Linked DNA regions of Bombyx mori. Each later gene encodes a partner of the first gene's protein in a complex. Links are inferred from orthologs where the notes say so. Each region holds a gene or a part of one and is shown in the gene's direction. Other genes may lie near its edges. The genes, in order: GATOR complex protein Iml1, protein SEC13 homolog and GATOR2 complex protein WDR24.

Region 1 (3,759 bases):
AGTTCCTTTTACGGACTTTCTTTTTGACCTAAAACAAAGAAGTCGCAAATTATGGGAAAGCTATTGGAAATTATGCTCAAAGCATAAAGGCAGTTGGTATGCAGAAATCCAAAAAGAACTTCCAAGTAAGCCATGGTATGATAAATATAAAGGAGCCAAGGAACGTAAATTTATAATCATTATTAATCGTTTGAGGTTTGGCCACTGTCAGACTCCAAGCCATTTATTTCGTTTTAAAATTATAGATAATAACAGATGTACATACTGTGGAGGAAATGAGGCCGACTTATCCCACCTCTTCTTGAGTTGCCCGACTTTTAAATTTCAACGTTTAATACTAGTAACAGATATTATGAAATTGATGGATTTTGATGAGAATAATCAAACTAAACATGGAAATTCTTTAGCAAATAACCCGACAAGATCAGCTTTAGACTCATTACTCAATGCAAATGGTAGTCATCAATGTCAACATTGTCAACCATCACAAAAAGAAATTCCCCGCCGTGTCCAAGATTTACTGAAATGTCCAGTTTTATTTAAATCTATTTACTATTATATAAAAAAAAGTGTGTGTGTCCGCTCCGACGCACGACTGGAGTTAAAAAACTGGACTGGATATAAAAAATTAAACGAAACAATACGAGAAATAGTTCTATATTACGACAACACGATACACTACAGATTATTAACAAATTAACGAGACACAAAACAAACGACTAACAAATATATGAAAATACAATAATGAGAGAAACGCGCGATCAGTACGAGGCTTTGTGGCGGACTGCCGGCGCAGCAGCCCGGCGTCACCTGCGATAACGCATTTCGTGTGACATGCGCAATCAGGCGCATAACGCATTTCGTGTGACATGCTAGTACGATTTTGGTCCCCATAATTTTCATACCCCGGGCCTATATATGTAAATCGATTCTAAAGGAGTAAACTCCAAAACACGGTTGAGAAAATTTAAAGCTCATCCTTGTTTTAAATAATTTGATTGTATTTAATGTTAAGTTAGTATAGTTATTTGTGTAAGATATTTTGTTATACCTTTATTTTAAAGTGCCAATGGACTTTGTATCCGGCTAATAAATAAATTAAAAAAAAAAAAAAAATGACTTCGTAGAACTTACTTTTTGGCGGGAACGCGAGGAGTGAAAAGACTTAAAGGTCTTAGTTGCCAGGTCATAAAATCCCTTTTAAAAAAATTCGTAGAACAATAAAAATTTTGCGAATTGTCTATGCATTCAATATTGTTCTCTGCCTGCTGTCCATGGTGTTTGTTTGTTTGTGCTGCATGCATACTTACCGTTAATGTTTACTAATATCATTACGTGAATATTTTAATAGAAACATTTAAAACATGCCATTTGAAATATTAGAAATACGACAATGAAGTCCTTTAAACTCATTGTACATCAGTCTAGTTTTAGCCGTAAGTGCTTTTTTACATCTACCTACAAATATTTATAGTTAGGGCATACAAATTCAAAATTTTTATGATTTTTTGTAGCCGAAGATTTGATTATCAACTTGAAAGACTATCCAGGGTTAAAGGAAAAAGATATAGTCGAAATTTATCATCCCGAAAATGACTACCCCCGATTATTACTACAAGTTACAAAAGTGGACGCCCCCGGACGCGGCAGAGGTAAGCAATAACATATAAAATTAATCAAAAATTCTTGTAATATAATATAAAATAAGCTGTGCATTTATTTTATGTTCCCAAATTTATTGCGTATATCATATGCAGCAGCAAAAAAATTTAACATACAATTGTTTTAAATAATATAAAACTGTTTGTTCTATAATTAATCCCATTTCAACTTGACACAAAAATTCTTCTTCATAAATAATAATTTGTCCTAAGATGATTAATTATTAATAAAAAATACACTTTGAAAGTTACTTCTGATATAGATTCTGCCTAAATGTTTTCCATATGTATGGAACATATAGGAAAAATCTTAGGTAAGGGTTGAATGTTATTTTATTTAAAAGTGAAAAAAAAAAACCAATATACCCTCAAAATATTTTATTTCTAAATATATTCATCCTATTTCTCCTAATATACTTATCTTGTCAAGTTTGTTAGTGTTCTATATATTGAGATACAGCTGTTTGAATAGCAATACTGCATGAGATGAAAATATGGTGTTAATGATAAAGTACTTGTATGGTGTGACAATACATGCATTGAATATAATATTTCTGAATAAACACACTCCTTATTGTATCTATAATATTAGATAGATTCCTTAAAAAGTAATGTTGATGCTTATTAAAAACTTTAACTTTTAGATACAATTAGTGTGGAACAAAGTATTGCTACCACTTTCCAACTCCGAACGTTTGCTGATGTCTATGTAAATATAGTCAATGTGCAAGATGTGGCTTTGGATTCAGTGGAATTAACATTCAAAGACCAATATCTCGGAAGATCCGAAATGTGGAGACTTAAAAATCACCTAGTAAGCAAATTCATTATTATTTTACAGAAAGAAAAAAACCATTTAAATTACCTGCTAAAATTAATACAAAAAAATATTTTGAAATCGGTACTAAAATTTAATTTTACTAGAATTTTAGTACCATTTCCAAATTATTTTTTATCCCTTTATGAAAATTTTATGCTCTGCTTGAAGCTTCAAATAATTACAAGGTAATTTGTAAAATACCACCTCTGCAGTGTTGAAATGTGTAAATTTTTCATGGTTTAAAGCACAAAATGCCAAGTAAATTTGTATCAAGCAACTTGACTATCATGGGTTAATCTTTTCTAAGAAAATATTTACTTTGTGTTCATAAAAAACTTTATGATGAAGAAGTAGGATTATAAAAAAAGCTGTGAAAACAATAGAGACTTAGATATCATGTTTCAAAGTGGGTGGGGGCATAGTGACATTTGTAAGGGTTCCAGTAACCACTTGACACTTCCAGGGCTTATGAGCACATTCACCCATTTATGGAAATAAAAATTAGTAATATTTAAAACACTATAAATTTCATTGTAATACTATTATGGTTTAAACACTTTAATTTTATTGTCATTATTTTATTGCTAATATTTGGAATATTTTTCAGTTTTCATGGTCACAGAAGACTAAGGTCTTCATTGACTATTAAAATTGTACTAACTCTTACTATAAATGTAACTTTTATTTAATAACAATAAAAATGTAAGATTAAATATGAAAGGAAATTGAATTATGTCAATGACTTGAAAAAAAAAATTAAGCTACTAACTAAAAGAGTTTTGCCTCAGAATATCACAGAATTATTTGTCTGTTTTATATAAATTTCTGAAAATATTTACACCAGGTAAGCACCTGCGTTTATTTAAACAAGAAGATAGAATATTGTGGTGGTGCAATTAGATGTCAAGTATATGAAATGTGGTCACAAGGGGACAGAGTTGCTTGTGGGGTAATCACTGAAGACACAAAAATAGTGTTCAGATCATCAACTTCAATGGTCTACCTCTTCATTCAAATGTCTTCTGAAATGTGGGATTTTGACATCCATGGTGATCTGTACTTTGAAAAGGCAGTTAATGGTTTCCTCGCTGATTTGTTTGCCAAATGGAAGGTAATAAAATTTAAATAATATAATAATGCATTTGAGCTCAAATTCATAATAATATACTTCAATAAACATATTGTTAATTACAGAAAAATGGCAGTAATCATGAAGTAACCATAGTTCTCTTTTCAAGAACTTTTTATAAAGCTAAGTCTTTAGAAGAATTTCCTCAA
Region 2 (3,759 bases), on another chromosome or scaffold:
TATAAATGGAAGGAACATCACTAGTTTTGAAGAGAAACCGAATAATTATAATTGTAATAACTCATTTGGTTCTTTTCTGAACTAGACTTTATACGAATGTTTTTCATTTCATGATGTTTGTACTTGTTTAGGTTTTGACCTGAATGGAATTAATATTAAATTCTTTGTTCCTATTAAAGCACTTTTGGTGGTAAATTTTAACAGTTGCAGTAACTTCTTGGCTGTCAATACAAATAACTCCAAAGTAAGCTGTGAACCTTTTCTCCAATAAACGATATATGCTGGAATTGGTGGGAGATTCTCAGACCAAATGCCGTTTCTGAGGCTTTTTGCTTGTGCTTCTGCTGATAATAGAGCAGGGGCAATTTGTGACTCAATGGTATTCTTTTTTAATTCTTTAGGAAATGATGCTTTTGCAAATCCAAGCTCCACCAATTTTTTACCAATATCCAATGTTTGAACATCTTTACTCTGAAATGGAAAACATTTTTGAAGAGTAATTTTTAATAATTTAAGGTATTTTGTTGAATTTGTTTAAATTGAAATATACCTTAGGCTGAGGTAAATGCAATAATACAGTAGAAACTAGATCATCATTATCTCTTCCGATTGGCTTTAATGTCACTTGCTGGCCCCTAGCAACACATTCCAGCCAATTGACTGCATTCCCACTAACTACTTCAATTCCCCACAGCTAAAACAAAACAAAAAGAAAATATTTTTATTACTTTGTAGGTAAATTTTCGTACAAGTTATATTTTTATCACATTTACCTTAACTGGTAGTGGAGGTTTACTGGAATGCCATAGCGGTAAATATATTGGGGCTTTGTGATTGACCAGAACACGAACTGGTGAATGTTGCACTCCAGCATATAATCCTTTCAAAGGTTCATGATTTCTGATGAAATGATCTGGAACTTTACTGGCTTTCGAAAACTTGCTAACCTATCGAAGTAATTTTATTATTTATAGTTATGTAATTATTAATATAGGGTTTTTTAAACAAATACTTACAGGGCGAATCTTATGAACAGATATGGCGAGACCAGCGGTGGCTAGAGCATATACTGCTATCTGTAAACAACAATCAGATGATAGTGCTTCGTTTACAAAGTTATTATTATCAACATCAACTTGTAATTATCTACATACGTTAACCCCGCGATAATCTTGTTGTAATAAATATTGCATGTTGTAAAATATTCCTCCTTCTTTTTGAGACATTTTGATGTCTACAGATACGAAATTCTCATAATTTCTTAAACTTTCGTAAATTAGCTCATCAATATTTTCAATCCAATTCTGAATTTAGATGAATGAGAGAAAAAACAGCTTCAGACTTGTCAGAATTTTTGTTTGATTCTACTAGAGCTCTTTATTATCTTTGGTTAACTACCAAATGTAACCTGACACAGTGTTTAATCTTTGGTTATTACTTACATAAAGCATAGATTTTTTAATTTTTTTGAGGCCTAGTCTTGATATGTCAATAAAAGTATCTTCATACAGTTTAGGTTTAGCTATAAATATAAATGCTTAAAACTTTTGGGAGATACTTCATAAGTAACGCGCAAAAAGTAATAAAGAAATAAATAACTTAACCAAAGATTGTGCTAACCTAAGGTTAACAAATAATACCAAAGAGGTAATTTATGACCTCTAACACACGAGCGGCATTCTGGCACTAAAATATTTGTGCTTTTTTGTAGACTGTGTTGGAGCTATGTGATCAATAATCTCGAATCATCAAGAAAATCTCTAGCTTCCATAACAAAATTGATAAAAAGAATAATTCAGTTGTAGCGTCGCGTATGTTGAAGCTGCAATTTAATTCTGCCACTTTTTATTATTATATTGTTAAACTTACCTAATAAGTTTAGAGGTGACGCACTGCGACTGTCTTTGCAATGTCGAAATAGCTCGTGTGGATGGATACAAAATATTTTACTGGTAGCACTGTTGAAATTCCACGTCAACTGATTTGACAGTTGATTGCCCATTTTCCGTTGTGTATTGTGTAGGTTAATAAAAATATATAATAATGATCACTGTTTTGAATACTATTGATACCGGCCATGAAGATATGATACACGACGCCGAACTGGATTATTACGGACTAAAACTAGCTACATGTTCTTCGGATAATTCAGTGAAAATATACGACATTAAGAATGGTACACAAACATTGGCTGCTGATTTGAAGGGTCATTTTGGCCCCGTGTGGCAGGTAGCTTGGGCTCATCCCAAGTATGGGAACCTATTAGCGTCATGCTCTTATGACAGGAAAGTTATCATATGGAAAGAGTCTGGAGAGTGGACTAAACTATACGAATACACTGGACACGAAAGCTCTGTGAACTCTGTTGCGTGGGCGCCGGCTGAGTACGGCTTAATCCTCGCTTGTTGTAGTTCAGATGGCTCAATCTCTATCATACAATATTCACAAGATACTGGTAATTGGGACGTAAAAAAGATAACGGGTGCACATGCCATTGGTGTTAATTCTATTAGTTGGTGCCCAGCTTTATCTGCAGATTTGAACTTAGATCCGCTTACCAATAAAGATGCTCCAAAGAGATTAGTTACTGGAGGGTGTGATAATTTAATCAAGGTATGTTACAAGTTGTGTTTAATTGTTTACTGACTCTGTATTACAGTAGTTAGCACTCCTAACTGTTGCGCCACAGAGAATCCTGATTTGGGGCCAGATGAATGTGTGTGATTTATTCCGGGTTATTTATTTATAAGGCAAAAAAAGAAGGCAGCAATTTTTCTTTTCACAATATCATATATTGCATGCATTAGTTAATTTTAAATGAAAATAGATATATTTCAACAATAATTAGTTGAATTTTTTTAATATATCTACCTAAAATTACCTTGTCCTTTATTATCGATATGTTCTTAATAAACCCTGTATTTAATGATTACTATTTAATGACATCATAATGCTTCTTAATTATAATTTTTTTAGTTAGTTATTCCGGTTGTTGTTTTCAGATTTGGAGAGAGCAAGGTGATCAATGGGTTGAAGAGAACAGATTAGAGTTGCACATTGATTGGGTCAGAGATGTAGCGTGGGCACCCTCTCTGGGATTACAACGTTCCATGATTGCCAGCTGCTCCCAAGACAAGAGGGTTGTCATATGGTCTAGTGATGATAATGTATCTTGGACACCAACAATATTAAACACATTTGATGATGTAGTATGGAGTGTTAGCTGGTCTCTCACTGGCAACATCTTGGCTGTATCAGGAGGAGATAACAAAGTCAGCCTTTGGCGTGAGAGCACTGATGGCCAGTGGTTATGTATTAGTGAAGTTGCCAAAGGTTTGGGCCAAACACCCAATGATGAAAGAAGCACACTTTGAATTTGCTTTTAATTTCATTTGTTAATTTTGTAATCTGCTAATAGTAATATAAAATATGTACATTAACACTGATCTTTTATAAACTTCATCAAAACCCAGATTTAATCTATATATTCAATTTGATAATCCAATAATTGGGTTGTGACATATCTAACAGGTTTTAAATAAATTGCTATGATTATTATTACTGTATGTATTGAACATGGGCTGAGGAGATGAAGTCACTATTGTCAATGTACACAATAATTTTCAATTTGATAGTATATTTTATAGAATTTAAAGAGATATTTTTAGTTTAAAGAGAAAAGTTCACATGTATACTTGACATGGAAATAAAAATTAGAGAAATGTACTTTTCACCTTGGAAAGTATGTTGCCATATGTC
Region 3 (3,659 bases), on another chromosome or scaffold:
CCAGACGCCCTTATCTAACGACCTAGTATTTTATCAGCATTAAAACGTGCAAACGTTGTGATTGTAATATACAAGTGTTGCCTGCTGGTCGGGGTCCTGTATGTACGATCTAAATTTACATTTTAATGTTCTGGCTGTGAACTAACGAGATCACTGGATAATGAGAAGCATTCTCTGAGTATTCTGCCGGCACTCTACGACTACTATATATATAAACTATAACACAATAAGCCCACTGAGTTTCTCGCCGGTGGTAGATTCTGCGAAGCACTGCTCTTGCCAGGGCCAGTGTTAGCAACACTCCGGTTTGAGCCCCGTGAGCTCACCTACATGTAGGGTGAAGCTGAAATAGCCTCTCAAGGCTATCAGCACAGGTAAAAAAAAAAAAAATACGAACTCATGGCGTTCTTACGACGTCACCACTTCCAAATCAATAAGCAGATTTTAGCTTTAGGCGTTTTTGAATATAGTTCGCTAGCCTGCGTACGGGTCTTAAAGCGCAAATAAGAGCTTCATTTCCACTTAATTAAATCTTGAAATTATAAGCAATCTTAAATACACTTAATAGGCAGCGGCTTGGCTCTGCCCCTGGGATTGCTGAAGTCCATGGGCGACGGTAACCACTTACCATCAGGTGGGCCGTATGCTCGTCTGCCTACAAGGGTAATAAAAATAATAACAATAATAAATAAGCAGACACACCTAACAGCACAGACCACGGTTGCATTTAAACTACCGCTTTCCAGACATAGATAGGATCCTAATACTAACACCTAAACGTCTAATGTACCGTTTTCGGCAGGTAAAAATGAATCTTAAAACATTTGCTATAACTTCATTTTCTTTGTCTCGATATGTGAGACGATTTAAAGTCAGCTTTGATAACCCTGATAGGTATAGGCTATCTTCATTTGAACCCTACTCATTGTTAACGAATTGATTATGAATAGCTGTTAATGATTACGTCTGAATTTCATCTCGATGATCCGGATGACACTTAGGAAACACTTATGGAAATGGTAGTGCAAGGTAGAGGGGGAAGAGGTCGACCAAAGAAGACATGGATGGAGTGTGTGAATGACGATATGAGAGAGAGAGGAGTGAGTGTTGAGATGACGGCTGATAGAAGAGAATGGAAGAGAAAAATTAGCTGTGCCGACCCCACATAGTGGGATAAGGTGGAGAAAAAGAAGAAGATCCGGATGACACGTATACTTGTCCATTTAAGTTGATAATACGGCTTAACGATTTGAGTTAGGCTCCGCTTAACGTCGTGTGGGTAGTGAGTTGGCTGCCCGTCCTATCTAATAAAAATGCGGAATAAAGTCTACCTATTACAAAAGCTAACCGTTGGATCGGCAGTGGAGTTCGGAACATGCGGCACACACATATTGAAGTTTCAATTGTATTTGAAATATAACAACTATCTCAAAACCCAGTCACTCGCGGGAGGGGCCTAGAAAGAACGTTGGACTCGACCTGCTTCGAATGAAACTCATATTTGTCTGGTTATATTAAAATTAATTACGTTTACATTAACCGTGTAGTGTTTATAGGTATGGGACATTCACGCCAAGCCCAACCTAGAGCACACTATATACACGATAGCGTCCGTGGGCCACGTCAAGTGGAGACCGCAGAAAAAGTTAGTATACGCTACGTTTACTGATTAAAGGCTTCGTCAAACAGAGCGCGTACTTAGCGCGGCGTTTTAACGTCACACAAATTGACTAGACGAGCCCAACGCTCCTTGACGCAACGTAACATCCGCCAAATCATAGTGCCTTTCGATAGCAGTGTGAGAATTTAAATGTATTTAGTAGTCGAGTGATTCAGTTGTGGAAGAATTGTTACACTGGCGCTATGTTTGGCAGTATATTACCATAATAGTACAACACATCTCGGCATCATAGCGCGCCGTCAGTTTAGCGTTCGGACGCGCGCTATGTACGCGTTCTGTTTGACGAAGCCTTAAGATCAATACGAGCTGGTCTCTCGTGGTCCCTGCTCACGCGGCAAGTGCACGTGTAGGTACCAGGTCGCGTCGTGCGCGCTGGTGCTGGACTGCGCCGTGCACGTGTGGGACGTGAGGAGGCCGCACGTGCCGCTCGCCACCTTCGCCGAGCACCGGGACGTGACCACAGCCATCGCCTGGCAGAACGACCCCAACACCTTCCTGTCCACCAGCAGGGTGAGCCTGCACAGCTCTTGGCAATATGCGCGTCTCGCATTCTCGCTCCGTATCTGATCTGTGAGCGCTCCGCATCTGTATGGTGGTTCTGGATTCCAGCGGATACCAGGCTTCGCTAGCGTTCTAATTAAGGTTTAGTTAATGACGGCCTAGTAGACCACGAGCTCCGAGCCCAAATATTAAAGTATATAGGTATTGACAAAAAAGGGTTCTGTTTTTTGTGTGCTTAATCAGTGAGTCACTTTTGTTTCCAATGTCCTACTTAACCGAGTAAATAGATATTGTGTCGACTAACTCTCCGAATTGTTACTAATCTATGGCCGTTAAGAATCTTAGTCGATATTCTAATATAAAATAACTGGTGCTGGTCGAAAAAGAGTTAATTTTGCTGTCATTAATATTAGGTAGATTTTCCATCGAGTACTGCGCTTTAATAGATACGCCGATGGCATTTCTAATATCGGCGTTGAGCAGTAATATTAATCGAGCGTTCGTATGAAACACGGATAATTTATAATTTTTGGGGGGATTATCTGTGGTACGACATGAACGTGACGTGCCTGCAGGACTGCAGCCTGTACCGGCACCGCTTCTCGGAGGCGGCGCACCCCGTGCTGTGGGCCAACCCGCACGGCGTGTGCGTGTCCGCGCGCGGTGACGTCACGCACGCCGCCCCCGACTGCCCCCTGCCCGCGCTGCACACCAACCCCGCCTCCGACCGATACGTACCTGGGCTCGGGTATGACGCACCCCCGCACCGCACCTCATATACTTACTTTATTTATTTTAGTTAAGTTAACGTAAACGCAGTCCGGGCTGTTGGCAATGTCAATTGACACGTTACACATTTACAGGGTGTTTGACCATTCTCGGCTTTAAAAGCCATTAAACTGGCACTACGGCGCTAACGTGAACCACTATTCGTTTACTTTTTTTTAATCGATTTGTGTGTGGACATCCCGCGATAATTAATACTAAAATCCGTCAACAGCTATTATGCCAAAAAAAGGGAACGTTTGTTGACAAACAGAAGTATCAATGTTGTAAACTGTTTTGTTATTGTCTATTAATGTACACATTAATTAGACGTTATTGAGGTGAATATATTTAAACCCCTCAGCCGAAAGCAGCCGACCGCAGGCTCGCTGCGTCCGCAGGCTCAGGCCGCACTGGAGCGCCTGTTCCCCGGGGGCGCCGCCTCCATCCTCACCAGGTACTCGGGCGAGGGTCGTCCACCGTGCTGCGTGGTGGCCTGCGCCAAGGAGTACAAGATGAGAGGCCTCCCCACTCACGAGCTCGCCGAGCACAACGCCAAGGTCGCCAGAGCTTACAACCGGCACATGGTGCGTACCCACTCCCCGGGACTGTGGCGACACTAGCGGCGCTGTTACCGCGTGCGGGACTGGCTCTTGCAGGTGGGGCACGTGTGGGAGGTGGTGCGCTGCGTGTACGGCAGGCCGCCGCCCCG

The links.
Region 2: GATOR complex protein Iml1 (region 1) and protein SEC13 homolog share a complex: the UniProt entries of both Drosophila melanogaster proteins name them as parts of the GATOR complex. The link is inferred for Bombyx mori from reciprocal best matches to the Drosophila melanogaster genes Iml1 and Sec13.
Region 3: GATOR complex protein Iml1 (region 1) and GATOR2 complex protein WDR24 share a complex: the UniProt entries of both Drosophila melanogaster proteins name them as parts of the GATOR complex. The link is inferred for Bombyx mori from reciprocal best matches to the Drosophila melanogaster genes Iml1 and Wdr24.

The regions. Positions count from the first base shown.
Region 1 is NC_085116.1:10,885,235-10,888,993, reverse strand, and holds the start of GATOR complex protein Iml1, read left to right. Parts: upstream 1-1,238; 5' UTR 1,239-1,393; coding exon 1,394-1,436; intron 1,437-1,514; coding exon 1,515-1,652; intron 1,653-2,305; coding exon 2,306-2,475; intron 2,476-3,325; coding exon 3,326-3,592; intron 3,593-3,675; coding exon 3,676-3,759. UniProt on the Drosophila melanogaster protein: An essential component of the GATOR subcomplex GATOR1 which functions as an inhibitor of the amino acid-sensing branch of the TORC1 signaling pathway.
Region 2 is NC_085131.1:3,993,933-3,997,691, reverse strand, and holds protein SEC13 homolog, read left to right. Parts: upstream 1-1,226; 5' UTR 1,227-2,043; coding exon 2,044-2,613; intron 2,614-3,002; coding exon 3,003-3,374; 3' UTR 3,375-3,440; downstream 3,441-3,759. Other genes in the region: uncharacterized protein LOC101741756, read right to left, coding at 109-471, 551-694, 774-947, 1,017-1,076, 1,155-1,226. UniProt on the Drosophila melanogaster protein: Functions as a component of the nuclear pore complex (NPC) and the COPII coat. At the endoplasmic reticulum, SEC13 is involved in the biogenesis of COPII-coated vesicles.
Region 3 is NC_085114.1:15,886,556-15,890,214, reverse strand, and holds part of GATOR2 complex protein WDR24, read left to right. Parts: intron 1-1,556; coding exon 1,557-1,645; intron 1,646-2,031; coding exon 2,032-2,191; intron 2,192-2,757; coding exon 2,758-2,930; intron 2,931-3,311; coding exon 3,312-3,534; intron 3,535-3,606; coding exon 3,607-3,659. UniProt on the Drosophila melanogaster protein: An essential component of the GATOR subcomplex GATOR2 which functions as an activator of the amino acid-sensing branch of the mTORC1 signaling pathway.